3 linked regions of the Arabidopsis thaliana genome follow. The protein of the gene in region 2 interacts with the protein of the main gene of each other region in a pairwise test. Each region holds a gene or a part of one and is shown on either strand. Other genes may lie near its edges.

The links.
Region 1: the proteins of IDD12 (region 2) and OFP7 interact in a two-hybrid assay, tested with the Arabidopsis thaliana proteins (one large-scale study listed by BioGRID).
Region 3: the proteins of IDD12 (region 2) and AT4G22820 interact in a two-hybrid assay, tested with the Arabidopsis thaliana proteins (one large-scale study listed by BioGRID).

What each region holds. Positions count from the first base shown.
Region 1 is NC_003071.7:8,024,980-8,028,781, forward strand, and holds OFP7 (ovate family protein 7), read left to right. Parts: upstream 1-1,977; 5' UTR 1,978-2,122; coding exon 2,123-3,070; 3' UTR 3,071-3,294; downstream 3,295-3,802. UniProt on the Arabidopsis thaliana protein: Transcriptional repressor that regulates multiple aspects of plant growth and development through the regulation of BEL1-LIKE (BLH) and KNOX TALE (KNAT) homeodomain transcription factors.
Region 2 is NC_003075.7:1,175,410-1,180,600, reverse strand, and holds IDD12 (indeterminate(ID)-domain 12), read left to right. Parts: upstream 1-1,976; 5' UTR 1,977-2,105; coding exon 2,106-2,298; intron 2,299-2,534; coding exon 2,535-2,934; intron 2,935-3,789; coding exon 3,790-4,411; 3' UTR 4,412-4,601; downstream 4,602-5,191. UniProt on the Arabidopsis thaliana protein: Probable transcription factor.
Region 3 is NC_003075.7:11,987,147-11,991,037, reverse strand, and holds AT4G22820 (A20/AN1-like zinc finger family protein), read left to right. Parts: upstream 1-1,950; 5' UTR 1,951-2,238; exon of another isoform or gene 2,239-2,615; 5' UTR 2,616-2,636; coding exon 2,637-3,167; 3' UTR 3,168-3,389; downstream 3,390-3,891. Other genes in the region: AT4G22830 (YCF49-like protein), read left to right, coding at 1-32, 304-382, 457-525, 629-742. UniProt on the Arabidopsis thaliana protein: May be involved in environmental stress response.

The sequences.
Region 1 (3,802 bases), on a different chromosome or scaffold from region 2:
AATAAATTATGTTTTATTTTATTTTATTAAAAAGTAAACATAATCTGGTTTTGTAATGGAATCGATTGAATTGACATTTTAACTCTAGACTCTTTAACTAGTAAAGGAGCATCTACATTATATATTTTTAATGATTAAACGACACAAGTAGAAATGTAATCATATTGTAATTTTCCAAAAAGGAAGAAAATAAATAAAGTTGAAAAATATAAATATATGGGAAAGAGATGGAGAAAGATGACTTTGGGGCATGAATCAGATTATATTGTCTCCTTGGATCCTTTGGTCGTTCCCTACTTCGCTTCTTCATTCTTCAAAAATGGATCTTTTTTGTCTTATCATACAACTTTTCACCTTCTTTTAAATATAATATATAATTTATTATTGCAAAATTGGCTTTTTTAAATCCCGAAAGTTTTGAAACCGTATCTTTCAATCTCATAAAAGAGCAGTGCTAATTAATACCCAACACAAAAAAAACTCAAATAATTTAGGTAAACTTTTGACGAAGTGTATAATTACGAGTCAATATTAACAAATGTTAGTTAATTCAGCTGACAAGTGTTTGTCGAAGTGATATGTTCTTCACGTAAAATGCCTTTTTAAAATTATTAGGTTTTTCGCGCGGTAACTTTAAAAATTTGTTTGATAGTAGTTAAGTTAAAATATTATAGTAAGACTAAGAGTATACATTTTCTCAATACATGTGATTGGGATGGTAGGAAAATAGTTACTACTTTCAAAAACCTGATAAGACAATGGATTATCGCATATTCTTTCTTTTAAGGTAAGTTGACTATTCTGGACTTTGCTAAATGTCTTACAAGATTTTGGACTACTCTTTTGCTTGTTGGTTGCTAGCTTCAAATGCAAGCTAACAAGAACTGTGAGTTCTTTTTGGACTAGTCTTATTATGCTTGTTGGTTGCTAGATCCAAATGCAAGCTAATTCGAGCTAAGTAGAACTTTTGTATCGGTCAAACTCGAGTTACATCAATCTTTGATGCCTAGGGGTTAGGGTTTGTATAATTTTCTTAGGATTAGCTTGTCAATTTAAGTCATAAGTATATACAGTATAAAAAAATAGGTATCAACATTGACATCATACATGTGATGACGTTACAAAAATTATTTTAATTACATGTAATTTATTACAAGACTAGGCTAAACATGATTCTGTGCGATACTACGATATGTAATCAAAATTGTGAATTTTTTTCCAAAATATCTTTTCGATTTTTGAAAATATGTATTAACAAAAAAAATTGATCTAAATATATAGAAAGCAAGAAAGTATTTAGGAATAAAGACAAAAAAAAAAGTTCTAAAAAAGAAATGTATTTTGTGGTAAAAAATATAAAACAATTTAGACAGAATGTTGTTGTTTTGTATTTTAATTTAGCCGTTTAATTTCTCAACCTTTCAATTTCATAGGTGTTTGACTTGTATATGCCCACACATGGTTATGTCTTTAGTTTTTTTTTGGTACAAACTATCTTATTCCTATTAACTAAGATCGATATTTAATAAACTCTCAAGTCAAAATGGTTATATCACAATTCGGTATCTTGTTTATGATCGATACAGTATCATCATTCTACTGAAGAAGTAATCGAGAAAACGTATATATATGAAATCCTACATATAAATACGTTTTCTCGACTACCACCACTTCAGAAGAACGATGATGTGCAACTTTTCCTTCACCATTGCTATTGCCAACATCTCTGCAAATCAAGCCTTAGACGTCCACTTAACTAATTTGGGTTGCTTTTGAAAACGCAAAGTATATACATATCACACACATTCTGACCCGTCTAATGACATTCACGGTTCATTTGATCATTTAACTAAGGTAAGGTTTTAGTATGGGCAAAAAAAAGTAGGGATTCGTATAAATAACTTATATTGCAGCTGTCAACAAAAAAAAGATAATTAGTAAATGTAATGTCGGTATAAAGCATACTAAAGCAGAGAAATATTATACAATTTTATATACTCCAATATAAAAGTGTTTGCATATATATAGAAGCAGAAGAGACACAAACAGTTCTCATTTGGTAAATGCTCCATACTTTCTTCACTTCTCCAACAAAACACAAAAAACAAGAAAAGAAAAAAAAATGACGAAACGTTTCAAATTAAAGATTTCAAGAATCCTCTCATTCAAATCTTGCCGTTTAAAAGATCCTTCTTCTCTTCCTTTTAATCCTGTTTCTTCAAGTCTCCGACGTACTTCTCCACTGGTTAACTCCTCCGCCGACGTCACCACCGTGCCGCAACGTCGCCGTTCTTCTTTCAGACTACACGTTTTAACTGTGTTTGGCTGCGGACGCTCGTCCACGCCGTTGGATGTTGATCTGAGAAACTCACCGGTGTTATCTCCGCCGCAAACGCCGACGTTTCAGTGGGAAAGTGAAGGGAAGTGGCACGTGATTGCTCAAGTCACTGAAGAAGAATACGAAACGCCTCGTCGGAAAATATACAACGGTGGGTCGGAGAAAGATAATCGCCGGCGTTTAAAGAAGAAGGAGAAATCAAACTCTCGGCGGCGAGGGAGCATTTCCTCCGCCGAAGAAGAGACTGATAGAGAGAGTCTCTTACCATCTTCTACAAACCTCTCGCCGGAATATTCCTCTTCCGAGCTACCGCGTGTCACAAGACGTCCGAGACAACTTCTCAAGAAGGCGGTGATCGAGGAAGAAAGTGAATCATCATCACCGCCACCGTCTCCGGCGAGACTGTCTTCGTTTGTGCAGAGATTAATGCCGTGTACGATGGCGGCGGCGGTTATGGTGGAAGGAGTGGCGGTGGTGAAGAAATCGGAGGATCCATACGAAGATTTTAAAGGATCAATGATGGAGATGATAGTAGAGAAGAAGATGTTTGAAGTAGCTGAGCTTGAACAGCTTCTTAGTTGCTTCCTATCGCTAAACGCGAAACGCCACCACCGCGCGATTGTAAGAGCGTTTTCAGAGATTTGGGTTGCTTTGTTCTCCGGTGGTAGTGGTGGTGGTCGGAGATCGTCCTCCTTCTCGAGTGTTCGACTCTCAGACTACGATGAGTGTTAAAATAATAATGTTAAAAATTAAAATCCTCTGTTTATGATAATGTCTAACTAAATTCTACTAAATTTTTTTCACTTTTAGTGACGATGTAAATGTTAAATGTAAATTATGCGGCGGTGCAATTATTAAAACTGTAATCATTAAATGCGTAGGCTAATTAAAATATTGTATTTGTGCGATTTAGATTCTAATGCATAGATTGCATATATTCATAATCGTCAACACCAAACCCAAAAAAAGATGTTCATATTCACACGCAATAATTGCTTTTCAAAAATTTCACTTTTTTGGTTACTAAAGTTAAAGTTATGTATACAAAACTAGATTTTGACCCGCGGTATACCGCAGATTTATTTTTTCTAAATAAAATTTATATATTAAGTAAAATTCGTATAGTTGAATAATAGATTATGTATTTGAGTTAACGGTTATAATATGTATTTTTTTTAGAATTTTAGTTAGGATTACGGTTAAAATGTATAGTGTATCTAATAAAAGCATGATAAACTGTATTATGTAAAATTCGATTTTTTTTTAACCCGCGATATACCGCAGGACTATTTTTAAAAAAAAAATAAAAGTTTAATTTGTTTAATAAAATATGATTTAATGTTTTGTATTTTTTAAATGTACAACTCTTATATCTATATATATTTTTAGTGTATAAATACAATGTTTGATTTTTCTCGTATTACTATTGATCCAAATCCATCCTACAATCTAATCCCTTCCAGT
Region 2 (5,191 bases):
TTTTCCCTTTGTTTGTTACAAGAATTCGAATATTCATGTGTTTATTTCCTTCGTATAGCATATATATTTTCAGAATATTTCACAATTCAAAAAAGCCTTTATGAAAATTTTAAAAGAAGAATATTCGGTGTTGCATGGGTTTTAGTTACGCTCGTGTCTCATAATGGTCACACGTTTTGTTTTGTTTTGGCCTAAAGGGATTCCATCATAAACTGAATTTTACTACAGTAGACACGCCTATCCCAATGAATCAAATGGTACAAGACACGTCTAAGGACAAAATCGACTTAACAAAATGTTCTTCATTGGAATATTTTTCTATAGAAAAATTTCAACAGATAAAAAGTTAAAGAACGGATGAAAGAGTGCGAAAAATTCTTGTTGGTGGGGTAAGTATTTTCTTTTTGGACATGAACAATTTTCAAAGGGATATATTAAGAATATTAATCAAAAACTTATAAAGGTTGGAAAAAAAGGAAGAGGAAGATAGCACAAAGCCACAAAGTCATCCACAAGAGTAAATCATATGAAGACGAAACAAAATTCAACAAAGTGATATATTCCATTTTGATATTCAAAGCCAAAATGCTTTTAGGGCATTGGTTGCTTTGAGTGTATGTATTTTTCTCCCCTACAAATACAACTCTCTTTTATCTTTGTGAGTGATTCAAACTTAAGTTAGGAGGCATGTAAGGATGTTGTATAATCAGAATTTAAATTTAAATTAGAGAAATAGACAATAAAGTTGTTTAATTCGTCTTTAGGGCGAAATAGCTTTAAACCTAAATTTGTTTTTTTTTTGTTAGAATCTTTGTATGATGTTCCCTTTTTACAATGAGTTTCTATTTCCTTACGTTGTTTTAATTTATTTTATAGCTTATGATAAGTTTCATTCAAATCAGTGTGCCTTTTTAAGAATTTTGGGTATATTATGGGAATGAGAGAAACTATAAGGAAAAAAAAAGATAAAGCTTTAGCAGCCTTGGTAGAGAAAGTAACATCACTCAAATTCATAATAACACACAAGTAAAATATAATAATATTTAAAGACAAATTCAGAAGAAAGTTATAGCTTTTTCTACATGAAATAAAATCGAACTAGAATCCCTAGCTAAAGTAATAAGGAAATACAAATAGAAAATAGCACAATTGAACAAGTATACTTATACTCTTGGCAATAAGTCAAACAATTTCATCTTGGATACTTAATTTTCCAGTAGATAGTTTCCTATTAGATATTCCTCAATGGTTGTATTACTAAATTTAGTTCTTCTATTATAAGAACAACGTTTATTTTGGCTAAGTAATTGTGTGTTTAGATTCTCTTTACAAACTTAAACAAAACAAAAAAAGTTTCCATTATTCAAACCCCAATAAATTGAAAAGAGGCACACTTTTCTTGATATAAAAGTGATTATTACTTCCATTTAAGGAAATTAGGCCTGATAAGTCTCATCTCACAATATTTTCCATTAATTGCACAAATTGATAGCTTGCTTTTTTTCTTTCTGGGTCTACTCTTCTTTTTTAGTAGACAATTTCAAGTAAATGCTTATAGTCTGAACCTGTAATCATCACTCTTCTCTGTAATGCAGAACACTTAAAAAATTACATAAAATAAAGAATAAAACTGAGGAATAAAAAATAAAAAACAGTTAAAGATATATGAAAACAAAGTCAAAGTCTCACTTTCAAGCACAATCTCTTTCCTCTGTGGTATTTATCTGCACATAGAAAAACTAATAAAAATGGGAATCAAACAGTCTTTGCATTTATTGTAAGCACACACATATATGTGTACATGATAGTGACATTGGAGAATAATCCATCATGGTCGTCTTCTTGCTTTTGAGACTATACATATACATGTGCATTATATACACTACTCAAGTAACTAAATTATTTAATTTTGCATATATAGCCAAAGAATGATGTCTTTCTGTGTACACTTACTTCTTACTCTCTAGGTACTTGCAGTTCCTTATTTTAAGAGATCAGAAGAAACCAAAGTTTGGATCTTTTTATAGTTTTCTTCCAAGTTTTGTTTTTGTTTTTTCTTTTGTTGGAGTTTCCTTCTTCATATAGCTATAACCATATAGCTAGCCATGGATATGTTTTCTTCTCATTCCTTGTCCTATAAGCTAAGCTCTTTGTCTACTGAAGCAAGTGCCTCTTCTGGTAACAACACACTCAGTACCATCCAAGAATTCAGTGGCTTTCACAATGTGATTTCTAGTGTTTGTACACACACAGAGACTCACAAGCCTAAGAAAAAGAGAGGCCTTCCTGGAAATCCTGGTAAGAAAATAGTACTTTTTTTTTTTTTTTTTCATTTGGAATCTTGAAAAACCAAATGAATCAGGATACTGTCTTTGATTCCTGGTAGAATCTTGGAACCTAAACTTTTTCTTATGGGGTTTTGCAAAAAAGTCTTCCTTTTTTTAATATTAGGGTTTGTGTGAATATCATCTTTTTACCAAGACTATGTGTTTGAGACTTTATTTTTCATGTGAAACTGGTTTATTATGTGGCAGATCCAGATGCAGAAGTGATCGCATTATCACCAAAGACACTTCTTGCAACAAACAGATTCGTTTGTGAGATATGCAACAAAGGGTTTCAAAGAGATCAGAATCTACAGCTTCACAGGAGAGGCCACAATCTTCCATGGAAGCTGAAACAGAAGAACACCAAAGAACAACAAAAGAAGAAAGTCTACGTGTGCCCAGAGACAAACTGTGCTCATCACCATCCATCTAGAGCTCTTGGGGATCTCACAGGGATCAAGAAACACTTTTGCAGGAAACATGGAGAGAAGAAATGGAAATGTGAAAAGTGTTCAAAGTTCTATGCTGTTCAATCTGATTGGAAAGCTCATACCAAGATCTGTGGTACTAGAGATTATAGATGTGACTGCGGCACTCTTTTCTCGAGGTAACCCTTTTTTAATTTTTCATTTTTTTGTTCTTTATGTCAAGTTCTTTCTTTGTTCCTTGTCTTTCTTGAAAATTTTACTGATGTTTCTGTGACAAATCTAAATTATTGTCTATCTCTATAGAGATAGGAGTCAATAGTTTTTCTTGGAGTAGTTTGATATATATAGATGAATTTAATGCTTTCGTGTGACTGATTTCAATTGTCTTCTTTTGGTTATGTTCTTTGACAAATCTGCTTGTGACTGTCCATGGAATATAGTTTGAGTGCAATTAAATGCAGTGGCAAAATTCATGGATTAAGACATTATATTTACATGTTGGCCATTATTGCGTGTATATATAATTTTTTTTTTTTTTACATAAATCACTTCACACTTTTTTAGAGCTAATATGTATGTATTTGTGTAATATAAATTAATTCTTGTCCAACAAAAAATGATTTTTTAATAACATTATATGTAAAATTTGTGTTGATTTAATGAGGAGATAAAAAGAAGCCTGCAGGTGAATCTTCTCCTTCATCATCATAATAGTGAAAAAGAATCTTGATTTGATTTTGTAATTTTTTTTTTTGTAAAAAGATTTTGATAATCTATGATTTGATTTGCTGTGTGTAAAATTGCATTGGTCCATCATGACATAATAGGCTTCAAAAGCTTTTCTTTGAATTTTGAAACTTCTTTATTATCTCTGTATGGTCCACTCCAAACTATTTCACTACTTGCAATTGCATCATTTTATTTTTGGTTTAATGTTACAATTGCATCATTATTGATCATACATACATATATTGTTTATGTTTCTATCTAATATTTGTTTTTGTTTGTTTGTGATATATATATTTTATAAACAGGAAAGACACTTTCATAACGCATAGAGCGTTTTGTGATGCATTAGCAGAAGAAAGTGCAAGACTCCACTCAACTTCTTCCTCCAATCTCACAAACCCTAACCCTAATTTCCAAGGCCATCATTTTATGTTCAATAAATCTTCCTCCTTGCTCTTCACGTCATCACCTCTTTTCATCGAACCATCACTTTCCACCGCCGCTCTTTCAACGCCTCCAACGGCAGCTCTTTCCGCGACGGCTCTTCTCCAAAAGGCCACCTCTCTCAGCTCCACTACTTTCGGCGGCGGAGGACAGACTCGATCCATTGGTCATCACCGACATTTGACGAACGTCAACGAGTTTCTTGGTGTTGACCGAGTCATGATGACGTCAGCTTCTTCGTCTGAGTACGACCAGTTAGTTGTTGATGGGTTTACGTCCACGTGGCAGAAAGCTGACCGTTTGACCAGAGACTTTCTTGGACTCACGGGTCATGGGGGACACGTTAGCGTCAGACCTGGGGATATGCTAGAGTACGCGGGTGGAGTGGCGTTTCCTATGTCGGCGTACGATACCGAATCTCATGATCACTCGTTTCAGAAGGCTTACGATCATCTGGGATTCTCAGGGGCCCATCGTATGTAAAAGGGCAAAACTGGAATCTTGTTACTTTCTTTATTTTGTTTCTCTCAAATTACTTAAATACCCTCGTGGACAAAAAAAAAGACACAGAGCATTTCTTTCTGGGGATTATTAATTTTCTAAAATTGTTGCTAGCTTTGAATTTTTGTCTCGTTTACGTTGGATTTTCTTGTAAAAATATATTCGTACAAGGAAGTAAGGAACATTTAGAATTTCCTTAGTCAATATTATGTCCGTTAAAAAACCTAAAAAAGTTTTTACTTGGACATTACATGAAAAATCAAAAATAATATGATTTTCCTTAAAAAATGGATCGGTAAAAGTCCCACAAAACTGCAACGTCTCTAGGGATTGACGAATGTGTCCTCTCAAAGCCAGCTTATTTGACTGTGATAGATACTATACAAGTATACAACTTCTTTCATCATATCCACGTTACATGTATACATCATGTAATATGCACTTTTGTCTTCTGAAGATATATATTGCCAATCTTATACACATTGAGAAATACATATTCATCGTAACTCAAATTTGGCAATAGGTGTCGACAAACATATTTATTGTTGTTCTGATTGTTGTTAACAAGTTTCTATCGTAATCACTAATCAGTGACAAGGAGCTTATACTATTGATGGTCATTTATGTTGCCACTATGGCATTAGTAACGAACACTAACATGTATGTATCATTTTCATACTGTGATGAATAGTCGCTATACCAATCACAATTAATTTAGTGACAAATCATTACAATCTTATGTTTTTTTTTAATAGACGGTTT
Region 3 (3,891 bases), about 11 Mb from region 2:
TGGGCCGTTCATGTTTCCAGCGTTGTCGAATGGTTCTCTTCTTCTTCCTTTGCTTTATTGATTGAAATTCTCACTTAGAAAACATTTGACATTTGATCTATAGTGACACAAGAGAGTATTTGATGTTGTGGGTTTTTCGAGTTTTTGATATCATTATGAGAGAAGCTTCATCTACATATAAAGTCTCGATCTTTCACTCACAATGTAGATTAAGCTTCTCTCATTATGGTTTGAAATGCAGTTGGAGCTAACAAACAAGAAAAATGTAATGTCTTTCTAATTCTGGTGTTGTTTTTACTAAAGGATTACGGCGATGGCATTGGTATGGAAGTATGGAGAAAGAAAGGGTTATGAGTCTTGGAAAGGTCTCTCATGGGGAATGGTGAGAAAGCTCTAAGCCGTTTTCCTAGATTACATGATTTCATTTTTCTGAGCTTTTTGGTTGTTCTTAATCAGGTACCTTTGCTTGGTGGAGCTCTCTGTGCATGCACATGGCATTTCTTCTACAACGATGAATCTCTTGAGGTCAAGAAACTCTTGACTCCAACTTTTAGCTATAAGTCTGTGATATGTTTCGTTTGCTTCTTCACTCCTACTTAATGGTGTAATTGTTGGACTGCATTATCAGGTGTTGGTCGCTCTTCAGGCAGCACTAACGGTGTTTGGTAATATCACTCTCTGCATTGCTGCCTTTCGGATCAACAAGTTGTCATCCAAAATTGAAGTCTCTGAAAAGCCATGATGGCTAAACCGATCAATATGAGCAAAGTATAATTGAATTATTAATTGGAGGATCACTAAGATTCTTTTCCCCTTTGAAAAGTTCTATGAGATTCTATGTCAACGATTTAAGTATATTATATAGTCTTTATATGAGGAAGATCCATGTGCATTCAACCTATATCAGTAACCCAAGTTACACAGATTTAGTCTTATCCAGAATCTAGAGTTTGAATTAAATTATAAATTTTGGTTACGTGATCATAAGAACTTCTCCATTTTTGTATAAATGAGATCAAGAAAACAGAAGAAAGAAAGTGCCAAAACTGATAACGTTTTTCCCAGTGTGGCAAGTTTGGCTAAAATTATAAATAAAAGTAGACATCAAAATGCAGATATTGAGATTATCTTAACTCAAAATGCAGATATTGAACGTTTAACATTATCTGAACTAATTATCTTGTTTTGTTATATCATCTTAAATCGAGACCATATATAGTAAAACATGCCAACAAACTCAATCTAGTTAGTTGAAGAAAATCATTGTGTATAACTTACATCTGTCACACACAAAATTGAATCTTTACGTGGGACAGTACGACAATTTTTTTTTTTTTTAAATCCGAATCTCTTGAAGTTAAAAACTATAAGCAAAAATGTGGGGTGGTTGAGCTATTTCTGGTTAGGATCTTAATAAGAAGAAAAAAAATGAACGTAAGTACATAAGTTTAAAATAATAAAATTTTCGAATTATTAAAATAAGATACCAAGTTCCACTTAAATCTTGACAACGCGTTAATCGTGTTTAGACCAAGCCAGGGCGTGATGAAGAAGGCATATCTTATCTTTATCTTCCCCAAAAGTCCACCAATAATACCATCTTAATCATTACTTAAACAACCCCAAAGGCCATTTATACATTTAAATTTGTTAATTTTACCTATTAGTTTGTACTCCTATTATGGGAAAAAAAAACCTACATCATTTTTTTTTGGATCAAACTGGATAAAAAATGTCAATTAATAAAAAAATGGAAAGTCAGAATTCAAAAATAAAGGAAATATACACGTCAGCTACGAAAGTACAGTTCTGACTTCATAACTTTGGAAATTTTACAAAACAGTGCCATTATTATTCCGTTTAGCTGCTCGATGATAAATTATAACCGTCAGATTAGGTCAGCCAAAAGAATCGCACGGTTAAGATTACGAAAGTGTACAATAAGGAGGTGTAGAAGAACACAACTTAAAAAAAGTGAAAACCGTAGCGTGACTCATACCATATAAATATATACACATGTATGTTCCTCCATAGTTACGTGTTTCTGTTTTTCTCTAATTTTTCTCTTGTTGTTCTCGATTAACGAAAAAGACTTGTCGTTCTCAATTCTTATCGATTTAAGAACAAATCATCTAACGAAGATTACTTCCGAAGATCAGAAACAAACACAAACTGTGAATCGTTGTTTGTTAATTCTCTTTAAAATCGCCAGAAGAAAGAGATCTCCGTTTTCTACAGGTAAAAATTCCCAATCTCCTTTGTCTTGTGTATTTTTGATTGATTGATTGATTTAGTTGATTCTGTGTCTTGTCCGATCTGAATTAGATTCTTGTGTTATCTTAGTATTTGTGTTTCGGAAACTCAGATCTACTTTTTTAATTGCATAATTTGATGACGAAATTGTTGTTATCGTAGCTAAAACAAAATCGATCTGTGTCAATAATATAGTTGTACTTTTGTTATGGATCTAATCCTCAAAAACCCGACAACCTTAAAAGATCCTCTGACATTGAGGAATCTTTGGTCTGACTAATCTCATCTATTGTCTTCTTGTCGTGTATATTGTCAATAATCGCAGTGGTAAAATTTTAATTTGAATTTATGTGGTGTAACAGAAGAAAAGCAAGAGAGTAAGAATGGGATCGGAACAAAACGATAGCACAAGCTTCACGCAATCGCAAGCTTCAGAGCCAAAGCTATGTGTTAAAGGATGTGGTTTCTTTGGATCACCATCAAACATGGATCTCTGTTCTAAATGTTACAGAGGCATTTGTGCTGAGGAAGCTCAAACAGCAGTTGCTAAAGCTGCTGTTGAAAAATCTTTCAAGCCTTCTCCTCCTCGTAGTCTCTTCATAGCAGAACCTCCTGCTGTTGTTGTGGAACCCAAACCCGAAAAGGCGGCAGTTGTTGTTGTCTCGGCCGAGCCATCTTCCTCGGCGGTTCCTGAGGCGAACGAGCCATCGAGACCTGCACGAACCAACCGGTGTTTGTGTTGTAACAAGAAGGTTGGGATCATGGGGTTTAAGTGCAAATGCGGGAGCACTTTCTGCGGCGAACATCGGTACCCGGAGACTCATGATTGCAGCTTTGATTTCAAAGAAGTTGGACGTGGAGAGATTGCCAAAGCTAATCCTGTGGTTAAGGCTGATAAAATTCAAAGGTTCTGAAATATGGAAGTTTTTTCTAAGTATTTTGGTGGTAATTACTCATTTGTATTTGAACCGATTTGGGGGTTGTCTTGGATGGTTTTAATGGATTGTTTCCAAAGGGATAGAGGATGATGAATTTGGTTCCGTAATAAAGTGAATCGATGAAGTTTGTTCTTAAACTAAATTGCCAATGAGTTTGACTCATCTCACTTTTACAAAAAAAATTTGGTCATGTTTACAATTTCAATATAGACATCATAAACAAAATAAGTAATCTTACCAATAGACCTTTGACGAAAGAAGGGATAGTGTTAAGTGTTAACCATGGCAAGGCAACCATCGACCCACTATTCAGTTCGCTTTCCCCCTAAGTGTCTTTCCCATTTTAAACTCTCAGTAACAAATCCGCGTAATATACACGCAAAACCTACCACTGGGAGTTTAAAATGAGAGAGATACTCATCGTCCTCCCTATTTTGAAGATGGGAGCATTGTGAAATTTTATAACACTTCAAAATTATACAGACATTCATAACAATAAAGATATACATGAACCAACGATAACACTCGGCCTTTTATCTTCGAAAAAAAGTCATGTTTCCTAAGTGAGCTAACTAATTTATGTCTTGGTATAACATACCAATGTTACATGAATATATAAATTTGAACTTGGCATATATATTAGAGTTTTATCTTATTTGATCAACATGATAGCATATTGGGCCCCATATCGGCCTAAATA